3 linked regions of the Solanum lycopersicum genome follow. The protein of the gene in region 2 binds, or shares a complex with, the protein of the main gene of each other region. Links are inferred from orthologs where the notes say so. Each region holds a gene or a part of one and is shown on either strand. Other genes may lie near its edges.

What was found.
Region 1: protein RTF1 homolog (region 2) and protein LEO1 homolog share a complex: the UniProt entries of both Arabidopsis thaliana proteins name them as parts of the nuclear PAF1 complex. The link is inferred for Solanum lycopersicum from reciprocal best matches to the Arabidopsis thaliana genes VIP5 and VIP4.
Region 3: protein RTF1 homolog (region 2) and protein PAF1 homolog share a complex: the UniProt entries of both Arabidopsis thaliana proteins name them as parts of the nuclear PAF1 complex. The link is inferred for Solanum lycopersicum from reciprocal best matches to the Arabidopsis thaliana genes VIP5 and ELF7.

What each region holds. Positions count from the first base shown.
Region 1 is NC_090802.1:61,882,154-61,885,805, reverse strand, and holds part of protein LEO1 homolog, read left to right. Parts: coding exon 1-123; intron 124-1,136; coding exon 1,137-1,268; intron 1,269-2,108; coding exon 2,109-2,288; intron 2,289-2,374; coding exon 2,375-2,506; intron 2,507-2,751; coding exon 2,752-2,862; intron 2,863-2,947; coding exon 2,948-3,184; intron 3,185-3,652. UniProt on the Arabidopsis thaliana protein: Component of the PAF1 complex (PAF1C) which is involved in histone modifications such as methylation on histone H3 'Lys-4' (H3K4me3). Involved in regulation of flowering time. Required for the expression of the flowering repressor and MADS box gene FLC.
Region 2 is NC_090801.1:59,437,591-59,441,763, reverse strand, and holds protein RTF1 homolog, read right to left. Parts: upstream 2,940-4,173; 5' UTR 2,752-2,939; exon of another isoform or gene 2,681-2,751; intron 2,227-2,680; 5' UTR 2,201-2,226; coding exon 263-2,200; 3' UTR 66-262; downstream 1-65. UniProt on the Arabidopsis thaliana protein: Component of the PAF1 complex (PAF1C) which is involved in histone modifications such as methylation on histone H3 'Lys-4' (H3K4me3). Involved in regulation of flowering time.
Region 3 is NC_090802.1:66,089,380-66,093,479, reverse strand, and holds the start of protein PAF1 homolog, read right to left. Parts: upstream 2,816-4,100; 5' UTR 2,298-2,815; coding exon 1,384-2,297; intron 743-1,383; coding exon 674-742; intron 1-673. UniProt on the Arabidopsis thaliana protein: Component of the PAF1 complex (PAF1C) which is involved in histone modifications such as methylation on histone H3 'Lys-4' (H3K4me3). Involved in regulation of flowering time.

The sequences.
Region 1 (3,652 bases), on a different chromosome or scaffold from region 2:
CCAGAGACATACGTTGAAGAAGATGCTTTCGTGACTGATGAATCTGGATCCAAGAAGCGCCTCAGCTTAGTTAACAACATTGTTCGATGGAGGAAAGTTAGGAAGCCTGATGGCACGACAACTGTAAGTGAATTATATTTCTCCAAAAAGAAAACTGCAAGTGAATTTTGAATAAACTCATTTATACATATATGCTTGGGGATGGATCATAAAATCATCTCATCTTGATTCATCAGTGTAAGTTGAGCTCTATGGCTCAACAACTGTATGTGAATTTTACACTTGTTTATGTTGCGTGCTTGATTCATCAGTATAAGTTGAGCTATACGGCATGGGTTGTCTGATGATGCTAGGAGACTTTCTTATTTTACAAGAAATGGAACTTTTGTTGTTCTGAAGTACTAATTCCACATAATAATTAAAATTATCAAAATGTTAATGGATGGATAAATTCGAGAGTGTGTCCTAGTGGTCAAAGAAGTGGGTTCTGAAAGGGGTTCTCGGGTTCAAAATCTCAATCCCAACTGAAGCATGATCTTTTTGCGGTTCACAACTGTCCAAGCCCCGGGGGAAGAGTTATGAGTAGCAAGTACTCGTGGAATCTGTCAAGGTGCTTGCAAGCTGACTAAGAATCACAGTTATAATGTGACAAGCACAAAAGGGAAAAAAGAAGAAACAAAAGGCATAAGGTAACATCAAATGAACATGAAATCAAGAAAACGAGGAGGTACAATAATAGGTTATGTGTCTAGTCTTTCTTACAAAAACCTAATAGGTTATCTTGAATTTAATGTATTCGGTGGCTGGTCAAATAGTGTTGATGTCTATGTTGGAGCTAAAGCTTTCAACGCTGGACTATGAAATGACAAGTAAAATCCTCCTCCAGCAAAAAAAGAGTAAGGATTATGTCTTAAAGGAAACATTGTGTTTTGGTCATAGAGACTGACATAGAAAGTAGAAACAGATACTTGCATGTCTATATAACTCTACAAGGTGGACTGCTTGTTAGTTATTTATCATTGATCATACTTAAATAACACTTTAATATTTATGTGAGTTTGGATTCACAGATCAAGAAAATTTCTGATTCATTTAGCATTTCTTGCTACTGACTGAATGGATGTTTCTGTATGTAGGTAGAAAGCAATGCTCGCTTTGTGGAATGGTCTGATGGCAGTGTGCAATTAATGATCGGAAATGAAGTTCTGGACATATCTACCCAAGATGCGCAGCAAGATCATTCACACCTGTTTCTTAGACATGGAAAGGTGAATCTCATGTCTATTGTCATATATGATGCAAAATCCTAGTTACTTTGGCTGAGAAATTTCTTGGAAAATAGTGGTCCTATCTTCAAATCAGCAGACAATTTTTTTTTTTTAACAAACAATTATTTATCCAGAACAGTACTTTAGGTAGTGCTGTAACCATATTTACCAAATGGACTCTAGAATGCTTCTATCTCTGTCTATAATGAATCAAGTACATCAATAATAGACACAGAATCATTAAGAGTATAACTGGTTACACCTAAAACAGATCAGCAAGATAAATTTAAGCTTGATCTTCTGCACTTCATTTTCTACACCTTCATAGCATCTGTTGTTCCTCTCCTTCCACATTGTCAACCACATGCATGCTGGGATGAGTTTCCACCTACACCTATTTTTAGCTATAATCCTACTTCATCCCAGCTTCTGAGAAGTTCAGAAACCTTGCCTGGCATGACCCATGTTAGGCTTTAAAGGTTCAAAATAATACTCCATAACCTGCCTGCGACTTGCAATGAAGAAATAAGTTGTTGACTTTCTCGGCAGTCTCCTTGCACAAATCTCCTTGAACACATGTGAATTCCCCTCTTAATCTGTCCCTACATTGTGCTTATCTTTCCTTGCCACCTGAAGACTCCTTTCCCTTCAACTTTTCAGACAGTTTGCCAGTTTCCTCCCTCAACCTGTGATCTTTATTCCTTTTACAAAAGTTAGGCTGCATGTCTCCCTCTTATTATTGAATACTATTAAATTTTTCTTATCTCAATACCTATAGTCTATGTACTTTATGAAACATTTATTGCATTGTGATCCTTAGCATAAACACCCAACTCGCAGGGAATACTACAATCACAAGGGAGAATTTTAAACAAGATGAGGTTTATGCCTTCATCATTGACATCAAACTCGCACCGTTTATTGACTGCCCTTGTTGATTCACGTCATAAGAAAGTTTACAAAGTGAAGAACTGTTTCACCGACATTGACCCTGAGAGGGAGAAAGAGCAAAAGGAGAAGGTAAAATTGATGAGTAATGGATTTTATTTTGCTCTTGGTACGTTGTAGCTGATAAGTTGACTCTGACTTTCTTTTTGTCTATGAAGGCTGAAAGCCAAACAATCAGGGCAGGTGTACTCCTCAATCGGAAAAAGGAGAAGGTCAGCCGAAAATACATGCCTACGTTACGTAGGGAGCGCCAACTCTCTCCTGGTTTCTTGGAGGATGGGCCTGAGGAGGTTAGATATATATTTTTTCATTTGTCATGCATATTGTAGGAAAGCGTTATTCAGTGGCATGATATATTGAAACCTCCTGATTCCTGCTTGCTCTGAAGTGGGTGAATTATCTGTTAAACACGTTTTAATGTTTATTTAAGTGTTGCCTTGTGGAAGACATTAGTTGAACTACTCAGCATTTCATAAGAAAAAGTTGCCACTCTGATCTTTCCTATCTGCCTATTGGAATTTTCTCCCATCATCAGGAAGAGGATACTGATTACTATGACTCTCGACGGTCTGCTGCTCGCCGTCGCTTTGATGAAGACTTAGAAATGGAAGCTCAAGCTGAGAAACGAATCATTAATGCAAAGAAGGTGCAGAAGTCAAGTGGAATCAAAGAAATTTCTTGTTATTTTTTGCTACTTTATCGGCTAACATGAAGATTCTCCCCTTTGTCAGAAAGATATTCCTAGGCAAACATCATTGTCTGCTCCAAAGCATTCTCGACGCCCTGTTGATTTTGATGACAGCGAGAAGGAGGAGTCTGAGTATGAAACCGAAGAGGAAGAAGAGGAGGAAGAGAGGTCTCCACCACGTAGAAGGGCTGTCCAGGAGGAGCCGGAATATGAAGAAGAGCAAGAGCGTGATCAGGGTGAGGAGGAAGAAGCATATGATGAAGAGTCGGAACAGGAGGAGGTAGGAAGCTGTTCTTCATATTCTAGTAATAAACCATCTGAATCTTCTTGATCATGTGTTGCATTTAATTAATAGGTAACTGTGAGAAGCTTAAACTTTTACTGGGAAATTCCTTACTTTTGTTTGGTATTTCTTAATCTGCCTGTTTTAAACTCTTGTCCCAGTACTGTTGTAAACTTTCTAGACACATAGGCCTTCTCATATTGGTTAGTGAGATGGTTCAACAAGATTTGTTTAGTGCTCGACTCTGCATGCCATATTCCTGGGAATACGTGTCAGATGTTCTCTGCCAGTAATTTGTTTGAGAATAATTTTATAAACATGTTGGTCAGGGTAAGGCTTCCTCAGCTGGACTTTCTGAGTAAGACCTTAATGATTGCTAAATATGTTGGTGAGACTTTCAAGACCAAATGGGCTGCTTGCCGTATGACCATATCCCTTTCCCTTACATTTTTGCCGCAACTTGGT
Region 2 (4,173 bases):
CCCAAAAAATTGAAGAGCTCAGTGCTGCTTTTTGTAAGCGTAAAGGGAGGTAAATACTCGAAATATTGTTAATAATAAGGAGTGCTTTTCTCATTAAAGCTTAAAAGACCCCTGGTTAACCAGGTCTTTGCTATAGAAGCATAAATTCAAGAAAAGTCTCAACATATTTTAATATAGCAGTAACTGTACTCTTAATTCACAGCTAGTACATGAATCCCCAGTAACAACAATTCATTTGGCTAAACAACAAAAGCAGTAAATCTCAAAGGAGTCCTCTCCTTCTCTTGTAGTCACTAACACTTAAAGTTAGTGCATGTCTTCTGCCATCGTTCTCCGGAACGCTACATCCAACAGTTGCTTCTATCCTCTGTTTGCGAGCCATAAATCCTGCTTGGCCTCCTTGAGACCCTCCAAACTTCTGAAGCACAGCCAACGAGATAGGCAGATCGAAATCATGTAGCGTATTTGATTCTGTTCCTTGATCTACAGGAGCATTTGTGTCCACCAACTTCCCAGCGCCTGCTGCAGCCTGCAAGGCTGCTGCTGTAGCTGCCATTCCTCCGTCAGCAGTTCCACCAGCCCCATTGTTATCTTCAGCTGCCAATGCTGCTGCTGCAGCAGCTTCACCATTGGATGCACCTTTTGCAAAATAATTTGTAGACCTAGTCCACCTTCTAGAGAAGGGATCATACCCAGCCTCACCAGCTTTCAACAGTTGATTCACTGGTCTGAGTTCTGATGCATTTTTGAAATTCTCGACCCTATTCTTCCGGTTCATCTCAGCCAGCCTGCGGGCCTTGTCATCTTTCTCTTGAACCTTCCTGCTATCCTCCAGTTCCTGCAGTCTTGCCTTAATCCTCTCCACTTCTGCTTCGTCATTCTTCATTTTGGCCACTTCCATATCCCTTCTCAAACGATCCTTCTCAGCAGCAACATTAAGTGGCCTCCATGTTGCAGATTTTTTCTGCTGCAACATCTGCTTTACAGTGTCAGCAGAGTAAACAAATGTGTTAGATTTCTGTATGGCCTCTTTTTTTTCCAACACATCTTGCTTACTAGGCATACGACCACCACTTCGTTCTACTTCCCTTACCCACTGATCAAACTCATCCCTCAGAGGAGGAGAGTCTGAAATCATAGCCATCTGCCACCTAGCAGCAGAGTTTTCATTGCCCCAAACAACATTTAGAAATTTGGATGTGGTTTTATTTTCTAGCTTGTATTGTCGATTAGGATCTGAAGCATCAACATTGCGGACCACACAGAGCCTATAGATAGGACCAGACCTTGACCTCCCAATGCCAACTCTTACAAAGCAACCCACAATTAACTCATCAAAGAAGGGCTCCATAAACCATTTTGCCAGTTTTGAACGACGAATAGAGATTTCTTTTATATCCTCAAATGTTGGCAACTGTGACTCCGGTGATGACTTGTCATCATCACTGTCATCCATTCCATCATCAGCTGATGAATCTCCCTCATTACTATGTGAATCACTTTCTCCCCTGGTAGGACTGCTACCTAGAGATGCAGCTGTAAAACTTCTACGTTTGATAGGTGAATAGCCCCTGCTTCCAGAACCTTTTCTAGCTGCATCCCTCAGCTTGAATTGACCCTCGGGATCCTGCTGCTGTCTTGCTCGTTTTGCTCGTATCTCATTCAATGCATCATCTCTGTCAGCTGCCCTATCCAAAGCTCTTGTTGATGAGCGCATGCCACGAGAATGTGAAGGAGGTGAGCTTTGTTTCCTTGGTTGGGCCCGATCCTTGATCATTTTGTCATGCAGACTCCTGTCAGATTTCTTCGCTGCACGATCAGTCAATATCATTTCCCTTTCCAGTTCAGTCATCTGAGCAAGCTTTTGCCGGTCATCATCGTCCTTGTAAAGATCACTGCCAATAGAATCATCATCACTCTCATTGCCATAACCATCTCCATCATTGCCTTCTCCATGGCTGCTATGATCATCATCTCTTTCTTGAGGGTCCAATCTCTTCTTGAGAGGAACTTGTGAACCAGAAAGCTTTCGACCTGAATACCCACGACCATCATCAGAGTCATCATCCCTGGAATCACTTCCATCATCAGAATATGAACTCTTGTGATGTCTTTTAGATGAATGAGGTGGACGATTCCTTCCACCAGTATTTGTTCTACCAGCAGCCTCCAACAGTAAATCAGTTAACTCTTCTTCCATGGTCTTCTATTCCACTCAGCCACTTGCTGAATATCAACAAATTCAAAAACCACGCAAAAATCAACAATTTTGACAAATTATAAACACAACAACAATCAATGTGACTATTAACCGAAAGGAGAACAACGAAACCACCAAACAAGGAAATATAAAACTCTCAGTCAAAACTCAAAAACAATTTGCTGAACGACAACTTCAAAAAAATCAGCAATTTCGACAAATTATAAACATAACAACAATCAATTTGACTATAAAACGAAAGGAGAACAACAAAACCACCAAACAAGGAAACATAAAACTCTCAGTCAAAACTCAAAAACATCAAATACAAACCCTAAGTCTGGATACAGAATAAAATAGAACAACAGAACTAAACTATGCCAATGAGCAAATAATCAGGTAAACATTGATTCAGATCCATTCAACTCTTTCAATCATTATAAAATTTCAAATTTCTGTTCAATCAAGCAAAAATTTTACCATTAACATAATCGCCAAAGGAATAACAGAAATGAAAACAAGTTTGCCGGAGAGAAGAATTAGATACATACAATTGATCTCGCCGATAAGGAGTTCGCCGGAGAGAAATGAAAAAAAAAAAAAAACAAATTAGGGCACAGCAGGAAATATCCGTTTGGGTTAAGATCCACTTTTTTTATTTTTAAATTGACATCAGAAAGAAATTGGGCTTGGGCTATTTCCTTTTGAGTAATAAATTTTGTAAACAACTGTACTTTGGTATCTAATTACAATCGTAGCGATAATTTGGATAATATAGTTTTAAGTTGTTATAATACAAAATAAAATAAAATAATTTAACGATGAAGCTTCAAACTTAAAATATTAGCCAATTTAGTAGGATTGACTAGCCAAATGAGACCTCAAAAATGCTACTTTTTACGAAAAAATAATCTAACAAAATGTTTAAGCAACTATCAAAAATCTAGTGATATTATTCTACTTTTTATATACTATTTTTTTTTATAACAGAATTATTAGTTACTCGTTGGATTTATTCAGAACATTTTTCACTAAGCGATTTATATAAATCATTAATTTTCTTTTCATGAAATTTCTCCTTTATTCGCATACATTTCATATTTCAAAAAAATATTTTAATTTTAATTAAAATAACTGAACCAAGTGTCATTTTGACCCAAGGCTTTGCTATTTCAGAATTTTAACTGAAATACACCAATTTAAAATATTATTATATGCTCTTCAATCGAATTGATTAATAATACACGTAAGTATGATGACATTGGGTTATGTAGCCCTTTTATGTGGATTATTTTTAAAACCAAACTTTATTAATGTGAAGGTTTAGTATTTTTCAAGGGGAATAATAAAATTTGGCCTCATATTTGTGATTTATGCAAAATATTTCAGATATGAGTTATATAATTGATTACTATAATAAGTCATTTCTAGTTACAGAGCTAACAAGAGGACATATTTTTTTTTTATAAAAAGAGTTATAGGAATAAAAAATTCAAATCAGTTCATTCATTATAGTTATATATGTCTCGTTTCTTTTAAAGAAATAATAATAGGCTAAGTTTTGGAGATGTGTCCAAAATTTACATTGCTCTATCAAGTTTTGGTTGTAAACGATGAACTTTTTTTTTTATCTTAATTTAAAAACACTTATTGCTTCTTAAATTTCTCACCGATTTTTCATTTTATAAGTATAGAAAATTTACGTTATTTAATATCTTTTTGCTTATATGCGTATTAAATTCACTTAAATAAAAATAGATGTATTAGTAATTTCTTTATTCTACAAAATATTCAAACGAAATATTTTTCTTATCTTCATTATCACTGATTTCAAAAGAAAACTTCTTCAGCGTGTATGATTTTTTTTACATTGCTGGCTAATAGTAATTTCTTTATCTCTCTATATACATATTTCAAAATTAATTTTTGTCAATATGTAAAGCTTCTTGTATTGTGAGAATAATTTTTAGGAA
Region 3 (4,100 bases), on a different chromosome or scaffold from region 2:
ATTGGTTAATAGGTAGATAGCAATATTATTATTCAAATATTGAAGACCAATCTAGGAAAAATTCATGCCTAGTATGATTTATAGTGAGCACGGCAATGCTGTGCAACAACAACAACATACGCAGTGAAATCCCACAAGTGGGGTCTAGGGATGGTAAAGTGTGTGCAAACCTTACCACTACCCTGTGGAGGGTAGAGAGGCTATTCAACAACTGAAAATCAACAACTGAAAATCAACAAAGTAGGCAGCTTGATAAAATAGTTTAAGAGAGAGAAGATATAGCTGTGTCCACGTCCCATTCTCACACCAACAGCGACAGCCTAACTACTTCTGGATCAGACTAACCAGAGGTGATGGTTAAAGCACAATTCCAAATTAGGCATATGTAGCAAACCAGCAATCCACGATAAAAATGTTCAAGGGGAAAAACACAAAAGGCTTGTGAGCAGTGCTTGGGAAAGAAGTCTCATTTAACCCTGACAACCTTCACAAAAGGTGCACATTCTAGATGGAATATTTTGTGTAAATATTTTTTGATAAGCCATTTTGTCTACATATAAAGAGCATGATTTGCTTAGTTTTTTCTAGTTTTGTCAGAAGATGCAGTTGCAGTTGAATTGATCATCAGAAATACAAGTGAAAGGACCAGCACAATGAAAGGAGAGCCACAAACCGATCTGGGTCTCTTCTTAAAGTCAAAAGCTTTGGTTGCGCTGTCGGATCTGGTAATTCATTTCTGAATCTGCAGAGAACACACAAAAATTACAGAATGCTCAGCAATATTTAATATGTAAAACAACTTGTTTGTCCCATATGATAGCATACCATAGTCTTTTCACAAATAATCCTAACAGAGAAAGGAACATTTTCAAAGACATGACATAATAGAAGAGAAGTCATTCAGTAAATAACTAAATACACTTACCATTTGAATAAATGATGTTCATTAAGTTTATCACCAACCTACCCTAGGGAACAAACATCACATGTAAAGTTCACCCTTACAACGACCCAAACTGAAACCACACCGACAAGAACAAATTTGAACAGAACTAGAAGAAAGCACAAACTAAAAAGGATCTCAAAGCATCGCAACAAGATGTCATGTGCTATGGGGGTGAATGGTAAGGTTATAGTTGCATGCTTAAAGGGTTATTTATCGTCTCATTACAAGGAAAGTCAAATCATATAATGGTATGTAACATTCCGAAGTATCCCAAACTAAACATTACTTTCGACCAACCAGTGTGTTTGAAAACTCCAATCTCCAGCAGAGCCGACACTAGAAAATATCAGGTAACTAATCCAACATAGAAATAGAATAATTGGAATATTTAAGGATCAAACAATCACTTGGCTGTAAATCCAGAATTAACGTCTTACTTTAACTTGCAAAGAAATGTTGTCGGCTTCTTCAACCGGTTTTCTGTCCTCTCTCCACTTAACAAAGGGGTGGTTCTTCTGTCAGCCATATGTGATGCGCTGATCGACCCATGACCCTTCGTACCAGAAGTTAACATTTGGGTTTTCTGCAGAACCTTATTCTGTGATTCTTTCAAATGCTGCCTATTCTTCTCTTCATGCCTTTGCTTTTCTATCTCTCTCTTCTTCCTTGACCTCCTCTCTTCCTCAGTCTCAACCCTTCCTGAATGAGCATTGGATTTTTTCATTGGCAATGGGGGAACAGAATGGTCTGGCTGTTTAGAACGAGCAGTGTGGTTACCATGCCTTGATTCACGCCAACCAGACTCTCGCCTTTTCTCTACACTGTGCCTGCTTTCATTACGTTGTTTCTGAGGGGGAACTGATGAAGGAGGTGGCGGAGGGGACGGTGGCTGAGAAGGTGGGGGAGGAGGAGGAATAGCAGAAGTTGGAGGAGATGAAGGTGGAGGGGGTGGAGGTGGGGGCTCCAAGGGATGGTTTTGGCTATACTGGGAGTCCTGAGAAGATGGATAATACATTGGAGCAGGAGGGGGAGGAGGCTGCCCAGAAGGTGGTGGGGGAGGTGGATATGAAGAATCCGCAGGAGGAGGAGGCGGAGGTGGATACTGATTTCTGGTGGCAGGAGGTGGAGGAACGTAACCAGGATGCTGATAATTTGAACCCTGGTGTACCTGAGAGTAATTCTGCTGAGCATACGAAGATCCATCATTCACCCCATAACCCCCCCAATTCTGCGAGTACTGACTTCCCCTGGATTGAGACGGCGGTGGCGGAGGGTTCTGATTCTGCGGAGGCGGTGGCGGAGGAACAAAACTCGACTGCGATGATGGAGGAAATGGCCTATACGAAGCCATGGGACACTCAACAACAACTCCTCCAAATGCAAACTAAAACCCTAGAACCACAAAATAAGCTCTACAATTCACAAATCCTCTTTCTTACCACTTCAGATTTACCTATAGCGCGCACACACAAAAAAAAAATCAAATCAAAAGAACCCTAATGAAAACAAAACAAATAATTCATTGAATTCAGCATTCTCAAAATCCAAAAACTGGGTAACCTAACCCAATACAATATTGAACCCCTTCTCAATTCTGCAATTCAAATTTGATAATGGAATTCGAATTCGAATCAATCAAATGAAGCAGAAACACAGAGAAAACGAATAGCAGTTCAAATTAAACAAGGAATCAATTGGAACATGAAGAGGGAATTTGAGTAGGAGACAAAGTGTTTGTTTAGCTCAGCAAAATTGGCACTTGAGTTAGCATCACCAATATATAGCCGTCGCCTATGTTTTTGCAACTTTCCCAAAAAAAAAACAAAAAACTTTCTTTGACCAAATATAAGAAAAAATTACTCTTTTCTTGTCCAATTCAAATTTTGCACATTATTTAAAAATTAAAAATGATAATTAATATCACTTACTAATGGTGAAAAATAATTTGAAGAATAAGTAACAATCTATTTTTAGAATAGAATAAAGAGAGTAACATCAATTTCTAACGAGACACGAGATTTACATGTTTATTTATTCACAGAAAAGTATTCAGGATTTCGAAATAATAAGTTCATTATTATAAAAAGGCGAATCTATTAGATCTGATATTTAGATTCTTGTTACTGAAAACAGTTAAAATTTTGAATTACAGTTAGATTCTTATTAGTGACAATGGTTAGAATTTTAAATTACAGTTAGATTCCTATTAGTGACAACGGTTAGAATTTTAAATTACAGTTTCAAAATTGAAATGCTTAATAAATTAAACCGCCAAAAAATTGTTATCAATATCCACCTATAAAGACGTTACTAAATCTTAAAAAGAAACATAGAACAATTTAGATATAAAACTCAAATTTCTAATCTCAGTGAGAGGTGCATTCAATCATCGTCGCATTATATGATACATCAAGTGTGATCACACATTTATGTTTAACAAAAAATTAAGAAAAATATACAACATTACTATTTCAACTGGAAGCATGAGTTTATATGAACCCGATAATTCCCTCCTGCATACGACTCTGTTTATTCATAATACTAAAAATGAATGTTCACTTTTACTTGTTCAGTTTAGTAAACAAAAGATATTTTCTCACTTAATTTCTAATTTATTTTTATTATTAATTATAAAATCATTTTTCTAATACATTTATCGAAATATTAAATTTATTAAAAATAGATATTTATTCAATTTTAAAAAAGTTTAATGATTTGAGAAACATGAAAGCTAGCATAATACAACTATGCTTAAACCATACTATAAATTAAAAAGCTAAAGTTTATTTTGTGGAAAAATTACCCAAATTCCCAACCATATAACACAGGCTAGTTGAGCTTGTTGGGCTAACAGTTGTTGCTAGAAATGTGAGTAATTTTCCTCGATAGTCACTTGAGAAATTACCTAAGAATATTACTTATGTTTGTTTTAGAATTATAATATCATTCAATTTTATTTATTTTTTTCAAATTATACTAAATACAAAATATACATTATCTCACTCTTATTAAGATGTCATGTCACATTATTTATTTATTTATTATTAAAAAATATGATTTAAACCTATTTAAACGTTAGGTTGCAATATGTTTTCTTTAAAAATATTATTTTCTATTTATGTTTTTTGAAAATGTTGTGTTTTTAGATATGTAA